Linked DNA regions of Saccharomyces cerevisiae S288C. The gene in region 3 interacts genetically with the main gene of each other region. Each region holds a gene or a part of one and is shown on either strand. Other genes may lie near its edges.

Region 1 (4,909 bases), on a different chromosome or scaffold from region 3:
TTGCAAGGCTTTATAAATTTGCCTCCACTCACTACCTGCCTTTTCAGTGAACCTTCTGAATATCATGGACAAAATTTCTTCTCTTTCCCTGAAATTGTAAGTTCCTTGAGAAATCTGGTCCATTAAAGTGGATGAGGCACCCCAAGGCTCGTTGTTTGTCGCTTCACGAACTTTCCCCTCCATCTCAGTATAATTGAAAACAACATTTTGAGCTTTACGAAAATATTTCTTGGCGTCATATAATGACATGTTGGCTAATGTATCCTCTAAACTCATTCTTCCTAACACTAATTAACGATGTGATCTCCTATCGACGTCCCTACACCTTCCTGAATTGGTAATTTTTGCTTTCCTCAAATAACTGTATCTACAAATCATTTCATGATTCTTCTAGTCCCCTTTTACTTTTCCTAATCACCTCGCACAACGTACGGTGTGACATGTATAAGAAATTGAAGCCATGTTTATAGAGTATATACAAAAAAGCCTCTCATGGTTATTATTCAAAGTCACTCTACGTATGCAAATAAAATAAATGTATATACTGAGGTGAGGTACTTAAATGCTTATTGAAGTAAATAGCGAACGTTGCTGAATTGGCTTAGCAAAATGGTTAACCACTGAATGACCTCGTTTCTATCAATATCAGCCAATCCTTCGTGAAGGCCGGGCAAAACTTCCCCGACAGATCCCTCAAACTTACTAGGTGCTAAAAGAGAGTACTTCATCCATTCCCTGTCTTTCAGTCCTCTGTGTGTAATAAATAATTGATCAATTTGCTTTGATTTGCTATTGGATCGTTGCAGTTTAATATAGCTCTTGATTTTTTTGTAAAAAGCCCAAACAGGTAAAGCTTCCCTACACTCTTTATAGAGAATACCATTTTGTTGGTCAAATTGGATGCTATCTTCCTGTGTGGCAACTTTTAATAAGTCCAGAACCCTTTTTGCTAAGCTGTTCACTTCATCGTCCTGGGGAAATGCTGAAGATAGATTAGAGTGCCATGCGATATACCAGTTATATATTTTCTTCAGGTAAACATGTGTATTGAATCTTGCCAGTTCGTTTTCACTCAGCATCAGCGTTGTCAAACCTACAAACATGGCCATGGTGTTGTGTAACTTGTAGTCAGAATTGGTAAATTTTTCCAACCAAGTTGGGCTATCGAATACGGAGTTACTATGATAGACTGCGCCTGAAGTATCATTGGCATTAAACTGAAAATGTGCAGCGGGCACTCCAAGATGGTACTGAAATGAAGTGTAACTAGACAACCCATCAAGTAGAGAAATAGTGGCATTAGAAGTGTATTTCCAATGGTCGAACAATGACCAGTCTTCGTGCCCATTAAATTCCGTGAGCTTAGCAGCTTCGTATATCACGTCTTGTAAAAGTGGGTTGGCTTTACAGTGAAAATTTGTCCCAGAGATTGCATTATCTAGATTTAGGTATACCAAGGCCCTTCTCCTGAGAATCGCAGCATGAGCTTCTGCATAATCTGTAGATCCCAGAAGGCCGGATCGTTCACCATCCCAACTTATTAGTTTGATAGGACGCAGTGGCTTCCAACCATGCTTAAGTAATTTACTCATTCCTCGTGCAATTTCTAAAAGAATAGCGCTGCCACTATTTGCATCACCGGCGCTACTCGAGGCGAGCGAATCCCTATGAGCTCCGATAATAATCTCCCCCTCAGTGAATATACCAGGGATACTAACCTCTACACTACTCATTTCCTTGATGTTGTAAGTTAGCTCATTATGCAAATGGACTTTATCGATAGAGCTTGAAGGTCCAGTGAATGATCCAAAATCTTTTATATTACTACCGGGCCCAATTTGAAAACCCCTGCCATTCAATCTTTCTAAAATTGGTTGGACATCTCTAGCACTCATCGGCACCGATGGTATCCTCGGCACTCTCCCTACCGGTGACATATGTTCAGTGTCGGAATCCTTGGAGGGATACCCTGGAGTTGTCGGATCTCCTGGAGTGTCACTGAAATAGTTTACAGAATCTCTCCTAATATAACTTGGGTTTCTTGCTGGTCCATAAGGATAGTGTAAAAACCCATTTTCCTCAGTAACTTTACCATCGTCAAATGGGTCTGTATATATAATGACACTGGAAGCGCCATAAAGTTCTGCATTCTTTACCTTTAATCCAGGTAATATTTTACCCGATCGTACGATGTGGATTTTATCTTCAATATCAATGTTTTTCTTCAAAAGTAGCTTGTAATCACTGATGCTACCATAATTGCAAAACACGTATCGAGCAGTTACACTTCCATTTTTTGAATATTGATGGAAACCCTTTTGCCTTTTCCTAGCGTGAGAAGCAGGATCACCTTTAACTCTATCCTCGATCATGCTTGCTTCGTAGACCACTTTACCATTTTCTAAAGGAGCTACGTTAGTGTCTACTGGTTCACCTATCCATGGGTAATATTTTTCAACTTTGGGTTTGTACCCCATATCTAGAAACTCGTCCAAGGTATATTTAAACGTTGACGAATCACTTGCTCCGTTGCTCATGTACCCAGCATACTTGTATACATGTTCTTTCGCTCTATTTTCCTGTTGCAAGGAGTTCAAGTATATCCTATAAACCTCTGCATTCGTCAATCTGGAAGAGTGAAACCGCCGAAAGTCTCTTGATAAAGACGTCCTGGGAGCAAATGCGGCAACAAATCCCATGTACAAAAGGAGACTCGCTAGAATCAAGTACATAAACTTTTCCTTGTCCATATGTTCTTTCATTATTTCATAACCACTAACAATACTAGATATTGTATTACTTCTGCCTCTATTCCTGGATGTTAAAGTGAAAGAATCATTCATGCTTTCTTCATTGTCATCGCGAGTGGTCTCGCCACTATATTGTTGTAATCCAGTGGCTTCGGCCTCATTGTCATCAGGGTCTGCCATATTAACAACAGTTCTCTCCTTTAATTGACCTTCCTCTTTCTCTCTCTTTCTCTCTCTCTGTATCATTCTCATATATCTCTTACATTCTTAATTGTGCATGTTGAAATTGTTTTAATAAGTACGGCCCCTTGCCTTGTCAAACCTTTTTACCCGGGCCATCAAACTCAAGCAAACTCCGAATGGAACAATGCCTTTTTGAAGCCTGGTGGTATATTATGAAAGTTATGATAGTTCTAAGCTTTAATTCTGTAAATACTATAGTATAGAGACGGCCGCCATTATATATTTGTAAATCGGACTTATATTCTAGTGTTTCTTTTTTTCGTAACACTATAGATAGCTCTTGATTGCAAACCATGAGCGAACGATAATATTATAGGCCAAATTGGCGCATCACCCAATATTTGAACACCCAAATATAAACATTTGGAGGATAGACTTGCCGCTACAATTAGTTGAATTGTCTCATTTATATCGGTATTCGGGTCCATGGCCCTTTGTGCTTGTTCTTCATTTAGTGCTGACAAATCTAGGGCATCCTTGTCCTGCCATCTTAAGAAATCAGTGTACGATTTCAACACATCACACTCCTTCGGTATCAAGTTCATTTGTAATCTTCTCAAAATCCTTTCTGCTTTTAGCCATAAGACACGGTCCGAAAAATCCAATAATGCTGAGTTAGGGTTGTTGGCATTGTACCCGCGTGCCCAATCCTCTACACATTTCATGTATTCCGAAATCACTAATACTGCAGTGAACATACATGTGGTCGCAAATACAGGAGTATTGAAAATTCTGCGCTTGCCCTGTTTAATGTACGTAAAAAATGAAGTCCACGCATCCACCATATTCAGTGCATACTCGGTAGCTTCCCTCAATGAACCCATGTCATAGCAAACTTCCTCCAAAGCTTTATTCATATTGGACCAATCTTTCAACCAGATTTTCTCAATAACATGTGCCAGGTCCAAACACCGTCTCATTTTGGCAAACAAATATACCGGAATTATTAACCTCATTGCTGGATTGGCGTTTATTGTTGACATGCTATTCTCGGTAGGTGTCAAGATGCCACCATTTTTCAAATAAAGGTTTTCCCAGTATTTTAACATTGTATCGATCCGTTGTCTGGAAGTCATCTTCCACTCAATATCGTCCAACTCAATGTTATTGCTATTGGTGTTGTTATTACTGATCCTTGCGTTATTTCTTTCAATAAGTATTTTCTCATGGATAGATATCAACAATGATAGACATGTACTTAACGAAACCCTAGCATTTCCGTAAAAAAAACTATCGCCTGTAGAAAGAAACCTCAAACAATTTTCATATGCCTCGTTACCATTAGACAATTCAATCAACGAAAATTTCGAATCTAACGTTATTTTGTATTGACATAATAGGTCCGACCATTCATCGGAATTTCGGCACTGATATAATTCTTCTTTATAGCATGGAACACCACATTTTAAATCGACTGAATGAAAACAGCAATCAGCACCTACCAGTGAAGAAAATAAGTTAGATATAAGTAATACCGCATGGCAAGTCCTGATACGTGACTGCGCCAATACAAAATATTGGTAGTTTTTGTTCATTTGATTCGGCGCGTTGTATTGCTCTCTTATTTTTGAAAACATATGAGGACTGTTTTCATATTCCATAATATGATCACTCTCAATAGGCGGCTGGCATAGGGACTCTAGGGGCAAATTTAAACGAGAGGCCTTCAAGAGACGAATAATAGTCGTCAACTGACCATGCATCCCCTTGATCACGGCTGTATTTTTATTGAAAATACAGTAGAACGTTAGCAATACTAATGTCTGTATAACCCATAACTCTGTCGTCTCCGGGTTTTTCTCACTAACTTTCAAGCTTTTCCTAATTTGGGTGCTAGCTGCATTAGCTAACACTTTTGCATGCGTCGAATGAAACCCATACAATGCTCCGACCATGGAGATAGATAATAACAAGGG
Region 2 (3,804 bases), on a different chromosome or scaffold from region 3:
TAAAACTAATATTTAAGAAAAGTGATAGTCAATATCCGCAAAACTATCGAGCGGAAATTAAATCAAGAAATAAGAATACAGTAATAACAAGGCACGATCTACTAATTGCACACGAAATGAAACAAAGGGCGTCGCTAGAGAGGAGCAATTCGATTAGGAATCTTCAGTCACAAGGTAAAAGGAGATCAGATTCAAAAGAATCTCGAAAATTGTAAGAAACGACATAAAAGAAGGGTGAAAAGGAGGGCATGCACTGTCTCCATCATTTTTAAGATTATTGGGTCTCAAGGAAGGAGGATGTATAATAGGAAATATCAAAGTCAAGAATAATGTTTCAAAATGATTTGCATCAAGATCGTTCGATACGCATATATACAGTCATCCACACACTTAATTTTTTAGCACTGGCGATAAAAAATGATTTATGAATAAAACTTCATCAAACTATTATGAAAAATATGTATTTCTATATTCTATTTATTATTATTATTATTGTTAGTGTTTGTTTTTCTATAAAAATATCTATAAGATTAATCCATAATTCTTTTTCTATTTTTTAATGTTATTTATTCGATATGTTTTTCATGAATTTGGGCATATCTACCAGAAGGATCTTCAGCACAACCCCAGTCGGCCTTTGGAATCCATCTCATAACGGTGTCAGCCACGGTCTTTTGAGGGAACAAAGCATCGAATTTTAGTCTGTACCAGAAAGCCTCTTTTGTGGTTGGAATGTCACTACCCCATTCGGCCTTTGGACTGGCAAACATTTCATCTGAAATGACTGCTTCGGCGGTATCTTTTAATCCGTCGATCCAGGAGTAACCAACACCGTCGGAAAATTGTTCTTTTTGTCTCCATAAAATTTCTTCTGGTAAATATGGCTTAGCATCTGGTTCTCCTGTGGTGTCGAATGCCTTCCTTAGAATGTACTTTTCAATACGTCCTTCCTTTGGTTTAATCATCTTTTCATTTGGATCGATGTTCATACACAATTGCAAAAATTCTCTGTCTAAGAATGGAACACGAGCTTCTAGACCCCAAGCCATCGTAGACTTGTTAGCTCTCAAACAATCTGCCAAATGCAAGTTCTTGACACGTTGCACGGATTCAGTGTGAAATTCTGCCGCAGAAGGAGCTTGTGCGAAATATAGATAACCACCGAAGATTTCATCGGAACCTTCACCGGAAAGAACCATCTTGACCCCTTGGGCCTTAATCTTTCTGGATAGTAAGAACATTGGAGTGGAAGCTCTGATAGTGGTAACGTCGTAAGTTTCCAAATGGTAGATCACGTCGTCCAAAGCATCCAAACCTTCTTGTAATGTAAAGGTGTGTTCATGATGAATAGAGCCGATGAATTTGGCAACCTTTCTTGCGGCTTGCAAATCTGGAGCATTTGGTAAACCGATGGCAAAGGAATGGAGACTTGTCCAACCAGCAGTGTGTAGCTTACCGTCATCGTCGATACCTGCTAGATGTCTTGCCTTACTATCGTAAGTTGATGGTTCGACATCGTTAGTGGCCTTTGCAGTTTCACGGGCAGCAATGGAAGCGATTAAAGAGGAGTCCAAACCACCCGACAATAGAACACCGTATGGGACTTCGGCCATTAATCTCTTTCTAACGGCTTTTTCTAAGGAGTGTCTAATTGCCATGTAATCTATTGGGGTGGAAGGAATGCGTTTTTCGTCCAGCCAATCTGGTGTGAAGTAACGGGTGATCTTGTCAGTCTTAGAATCGTATACGTGGCCCGGTGGGAATGCAGTGATAGTGTCACAGTCGTCAGTCAAACATTTTAGTTCGGATGCAAAATAAACGGTCTTTGGAGAAGCGGAAGAGCGTCCCATATATAATGTCGTAATACCGATTGGGTCTCTGGCTGCCACAATACGATCTTGTTTAGCGTCGTAAAGAGTCCAAGCAAACATACCATCCAAGTACTTAGGAGCGTCGATATCGTGCTTTAAGTACATTGGGATGATAGGCTCACAGTCACTCAGTGTTCCAAACTCGTAGTCTGCGCATTCTTCTCTTAATTGAATGTGGTTGTAGATTTCACCGTTAACACATAGCATGTACTCTCCGTCTGAAGAAGTAATTGGTTGAGCACCGGATTCCACACCGACAATGGCTAGTCTTTCATGAACAAATATAGTGGAGTTCTTGATAGCATTACCGGACCAATCTGGACCACGGTGTCTGATTCTTTTTGATAGTTGTAGAGCCTTTGGCTTATATCTATGCACGTCTTCGTGCCTGAAAGCGGCGAAAATACCACACATCTTAAGTTACGTCCGATTTATATCCTTAGCGTAAAGCAAGTTATACTTTTTCTTATTTTATTATGTAAAGGTAAGAAGAGTATGCGATCAGGGTCCAAACAGAATCTGTCTCCTAGTGGCGTTCACTATAGGGTTATATATGCGTATCTATAAATGCGCATAAATTCAAGAACGAACTATTTGTCATCTCGAGTGGGCAGCAAATTTTCAGTTTACAGAATGAGTCAAATGTTACATGAGTTAAGGCTCTTTTCCTTGTGCTCTCTCTCTCTGTCTGAGCCTGCCAAATGATAACAGTCATAGGCCCTGTACCTAATTTGCCGTCCACGGCAGCAGTACTGCTGCCGTGTGATTGGTGGATAGATAGTGCCAGCGATAAGAAACGGTAGTTGATGCCCGAAGGTGCTTTCCAGCGCAGAAAGACAGACCCCAGGCGTATTTGCGCTCACGTTGCACGAACACGGGCGGCATTCGTGATGACAATAGATTTAATTTAGATATGCACTGGTTTCCACAGAGACCAATCGACAGTCTTCCATGCAAGGTCACTTATTGTTAACGGCAAGTTTCCCTGGATGTCCGCTTTAAAACTGTTTCGGCACGGTTTAAAGGACACAAGTTTTGACTAGTCTACAATTTAAGAACATATAAAAAGCTACTTGTGTACAGATGAGATGACTACTCCCAAGTCAAAAACAACAAAAGAATGAAAGAAAAAAGAATCAGAATTTTATAAAAGCGTCCTTGTCATTCTTAAGAATGTAACAAGATCAATGGGTTGCGCAGGAACCGCTATCTCCATTAAAACCTCAGATCGCTCCGAGAAGAATTGTTCGATTTGAAACGCAAATAATATCATCGTATTCTTTTAAAAACTTGGAAGGTCATTGGTTTCTTTAAATGAAACCTCCAAAGAAAATCTAACGCGTCTTGGTAAAATATATGTACCGAGTGTTTCGCTTTTTATACCTGTTAAATGAAAATCGAAAAAAAAGAAAAAGAAAAAAGTTTTTCAGCACTTCTCTACGGGTAATCCTCGTATTTGAAGGTTTAGGGCTATTCTTGAAATTTTTCACTAAAATTTTCCAACTGAGAAAAAAAAAAGTGTATTACGGTTTTGATGAGATGAGATGAGATGTAATTATCATCCTCTATTGCCATGAAGAGAGATCTATTAAAAAGAAACGTCAAAGAATATGGTATTGCTTATATCAGAAATTAAAGATATTGCCAAGAGGCTGACTGCTGCGGGTGACAGAAAGCAGTACAACTCCATTATCAAGTTAATCAATGAACTAGTGATTCCAGAAAATGTTACTCAATTGGAAGAAGATGAGACAGAAAAAAATTTGAGATTTCTGGTTATGTCGCTATTCCAGATATTTAGAAAGCTGTTTTCCCGCGGCGACTTGACCCTTCCTTCGTCCAAAAAGAGCACATTAGAGAAGGAACAGTTTGTTAATTGGTGTAGAAAGGTGTATGAAGCGTTCAAGACGAAGCTGTTAGCTATCATTTCGGA
Region 3 (4,123 bases):
TAACGAGCCGTCGACATCGCCCTCTTGAAGTTCCAAGTTAACGTCTTGATCTTCATAAAATTTTTCTTTCATTTTTATGGCTTTACGCAAAGATTGGTCATTTTGCTCTTTCCTTAAACGGTAACGTTGAGAAGGAGTAAGTTGGGTTGTTTTATATGGTAATATTACAGAAGTACTATTGGAATGCACATACGGCGTTTTTGTGATCGGCATGAGTTTTGGTTCTTGGATAGTTGCGGTACTCATGCAATGATGTTTAAGAGGAGAGTCATTCTCGCTTATGAATGAAGTTTGTGATGCGGCTATACTGTTGGTTGTATTGCTCGATCCAGGCAGCCCTACTGTCCTGGAGAGTTTAGGAGTTGACACCGAATTTTGACGAGATGGAATGCATGTAGTTATGGTACTCATTGAGCAGATTGTTTTATCAGCGCTACTTGCTGTACGTGTTTTCTGTAGTATTGATCCCGGTCGGCTTTTCTTTAAGGGCGTAATATTGCTTCTATGGTCAGCTTCTCTCATACTTTTGAAGAAGCAGTTATCCTCCATCTTACTGTTTGCTATTTCACCCTCTTCTGAGCTTATATCTGATGTACATAAAGAATCAGATGTCGTATTTGAGTGCGATGAAGAAAATATCTCTGTGCTCGATGTACCTATAGAATCATCTGATATTGGCCTAATGCACTTCGCTGTGGGTACGTGTGGATTATTATTACCTAATACATTTTTAACAACATCTTGGCTAGCGAAATTGAAATCTAGGTTGGAGCTAGGGCGTCTTGTTCCAATATTCTTTCCGTTCGAACCTGTAGTGCTACTGGATGCACTACTGCCTGATCGGGATTTAGACAACGGAAGGCTGCAACTTTTGCGTTCGGTATATTCTGAAAGCATCAACTCCTTTGTGGAAAACTTCTTAGGTTGATTTTGTTTCAGATGCGTTGAGTCCTCCTCCTTTAAAGGGTCTAGCTTAGACGTATTAGGAACTATATTAATCAAACGACGTGCTGTCATACAATAAAATTGAATGTCACAGAAAGCTAAAGAGCTGAAGTAAAATAATGAAGCAAAGGTGGAAGCCCGAAAATAAAGTTAAAATTCAAAGCTTGTAACGAACGTATGAATGAAAGCACTAATTGAGAAAAAACTGAATTTTGTCAAAACAGCTCTATGTTTCAGAATGATAAAAAGGAGAGTTAAAAATACAATGGACAGTGGAATACAGCCAAATGCTCGATAGCTTTCGCAGAAACAGTACAATTAAAGATCAACACTTGTATTCTAATTATAGCAGGATCGATGTTACATCTCTTTTGCTCTCTAATCGGAGCTGAAAAAAAAAAAAAAAAGCGTATATAGTGATCTACGCTGATTAACATTATAGATTGCATAAAAGGGAAAAAGGAATTACATGAAGATCTATTCTGCGCGACACACTTTATTGGCGTACTGGCAAGAATGGGCTTTCAAATCTTCCAAGCGTTCACTTTAATGTTCTTATTGGCATGTTAAAATGTATATGCCGTGTCTATTCCCAGCCTTTGGCTCAAATGGTCACTTCACCGCTGTTTAAACATATGGGTAGCGCAGGGACATACACAATTCTACCTATTACAAATCTGCGCCATTTATCTACGAAAAACTGTCCATTGAAAATTAAATCAAATCGTTCAGAACCTTTGCAGTTTGGCGATTTTGAACGACAGGTGCCATGTTCTAGGAAGAGCGGATCTTCGAAAAATGTTCAGAAGCGTTTATACGAGCTCCGACAATTGAAAACTGTATTAAGTGAGACTTTTGGAGTAACTGAATACGCCTCTTTTTTTGAATCTCTACGAAATGCCCTGCATATAAATAATTGCTCAGAAAATGAAAAGAAGAAACTTTTATATGATATCATTTTGCATCAACACGAGTTATACCCAGAGGTGGCAAGAAAAATTGGATTTTATCTACCAGGTGAGGTCCACAGATGGTTCTGGTATCATATTCCAAAATCAGAATCTTTTAATCACTATCTTTTTCTTTTGAAAAGTGATGTTCTTCTCTTTACTTCTAACTACTGTACGAGATTTACCAATAGGCTGATAAAAGGAACTGAGATGGAGAGGCAGTTAGCCACGTTCCAAATATTTTTGCATGATGAGACAAACATAAAATTTATAATGGAAAAAGTTCTGAAGTTGCATACATTTGACAGCTTAATCGCTCTAGTAAATGGCCTTGTTAAGGCGAAAAATTTTAGGTTCATTAAAGTATTTATTCAAGCTCTACTACAGAAGTTGGAACAGCACTGTTATTCTGGTAAAGATGGAGCAAAGCAAAAGAACCTGCGTTATGTCAAGTTCAACAATACCTTACTTTATTACCTTTTGAAAAGTGGAAATGTTGAGTTATTCATCAAAACCTTTCAAGAGGAACTGAAATTCATTGTAAGCTCAGGATTGCTTAATCACATTGATGGAAACGAACACATATTGAATTTTCCCATTCACCACTACTTGAATCTGCTCCGAATATCTAATAGGCAGGAGGAGCTTTTCAATGTAATTTCCTGCTTACAAAGCAGCCCACTGATGAAATATAAATTGTTCAAGGAGTTTTTAATGGGTGAATTAATTGCATCTTTTCAAGCCTTTCGTGACCCGAAATTGGTGTGTAAATATCTCCTCTCATCATACAGCTCAAAGGCGTCTGCTAATATTCTGAATGCCCTAGGGATTTGGGGGTGGCTCTATCATTCAAAATCAACGACTTTGACAGCTCCTACGTTAGCAAGAGAGCTGAAGAACAAAAATAATATTCTACCGAACACAATGCGAATAGGATCACCAGTGACTGTTCCAATTTTAACTGAACTGTATAGAAGCCTTTTATCTTCGAGTTCTGTTTCACTGGAAAGTGGTCAATTCAAGAATTGTCTTCTTGATTTATATTACAAGTACAAGAGTTTTCTTTCCGAGGAAGCTCATAAATACAGGTATTGGAGAAATGATACCGGAATCCTCAATGTTTTCCTAAATTATATTAGATTCCAAGCTCGTGAACCAAGGCTGGCCTACAATGTTCTTCTGGATTTTTATTCTCAACCTTTCGCCAAAAAAGTGGTTTTAACTACCACGCTATGTCCCTTTTCCATAGTAGCCTATAAAAATCATACATTAACGCAGGCTGAACTATCAGAATTGCTACAGGTGATGCATAAAAATGGGGTGCCTTTAACGTTTAAATTTTGTTCTGCAATGGTAATGCATTATGTCAAAATGAGAGACGAAAAAGGAGCACGCTCCTGGTACAATAAGATACTCTTCGGGGGCTTTGAAATCAGGCATATGGCTTTGATACAGATAATAAAAGACCAAGGCTGGCCGTTTCCCAAAAACTTTGACGAAACTTTACTGACGGAATTGGTGGAAAATAATAACATTAAAGAACCTACTGATAGCACCCTGTTTACTGACGAAGATATGTTCGAAGAAGATGGCAAGCCTAGATTTAATGATGATGATGTTAATAAATGTACAAATATTATAAGAGAGACGTTGAAAAGTCTAAATTAATATCCAGATGAGCACTAGTAAATAGTAAATATTCATTCATAGATAGTAATTTACCCATAAGTTATTAATACCTACAAAGTTTTTTCATAAGTTTATGAATATGTCTTCTTGGCCCATGGTTACTTTATTACCTCTAATACCTTATTTACTTTCTCAAATAAATGAGCCCTTGGATTTCATTTACTGAGAATAAAAAAAAGTACCGTGCTCGGCAAAAATGCTCCAGGGGAGGTTCGAACTCTCGACCTTCAGATTATGAGACTGACGCTCTTCCTACTGAGCTACTGAAGCTTTGTTTTGTACAGACGTTACATCTCAGAATGGGATACGTCAGCATGACAATACATTATCCTGAACGTTCATAGAACACATATGAAACCTAAGAAAACGAACAGATTGAGCAACATGAGGTAAAACTCCGCCTTCTATAGCTGGGCTATCTAAACGTATAAATGCCTGAACAATTGGTTTATGAGAAATGGGTGTATTTTGAGAGACTTGTTGGGATTCCATTGTTGATAAAGGCTATAATATTAGGTGTACAGAATATACTAGAAGTT

The links. Genes that interact genetically often act in the same process or in processes that back each other up.
Region 1: mutations in ATP22 (region 3) and VPS70 together harm fitness more than expected from each alone (negative genetic interaction), as found in Saccharomyces cerevisiae (one large-scale study listed by BioGRID).
Region 2: mutations in ATP22 (region 3) and ASN1 together harm fitness more than expected from each alone (negative genetic interaction), as found in Saccharomyces cerevisiae (one large-scale study listed by BioGRID).

The regions. Positions count from the first base shown.
Region 1 is NC_001142.9:655,688-660,596, forward strand, and holds VPS70 (putative zinc metalloprotease), read right to left. Parts: upstream 3,003-4,909; coding exon 567-3,002; downstream 1-566. Other genes in the region: ENT3 (Ent3p), read right to left, coding at 1-276; RSF2 (Rsf2p), read right to left, coding at 3,230-4,909. UniProt on the Saccharomyces cerevisiae protein: Involved in vacuolar protein sorting.
Region 2 is NC_001148.4:821,101-824,904, reverse strand, and holds ASN1 (asparagine synthase (glutamine-hydrolyzing) 1), read right to left. Parts: upstream 2,286-3,804; coding exon 567-2,285; downstream 1-566. Other genes in the region: YPR145C-A (uncharacterized protein), read left to right, coding at 1-215; ribosome biosynthesis protein NOC4, read left to right, coding at 3,482-3,804.
Region 3 is NC_001136.10:1,175,560-1,179,682, reverse strand, and holds ATP22 (Atp22p), read left to right. Parts: upstream 1-1,508; coding exon 1,509-3,563; downstream 3,564-4,123. Other genes in the region: SBE2 (Sbe2p), read right to left, coding at 1-1,017. UniProt on the Saccharomyces cerevisiae protein: Translation factor specific for subunit 6 of the mitochondrial ATPase. Required for assembly of the CF(0) component of the ATPase.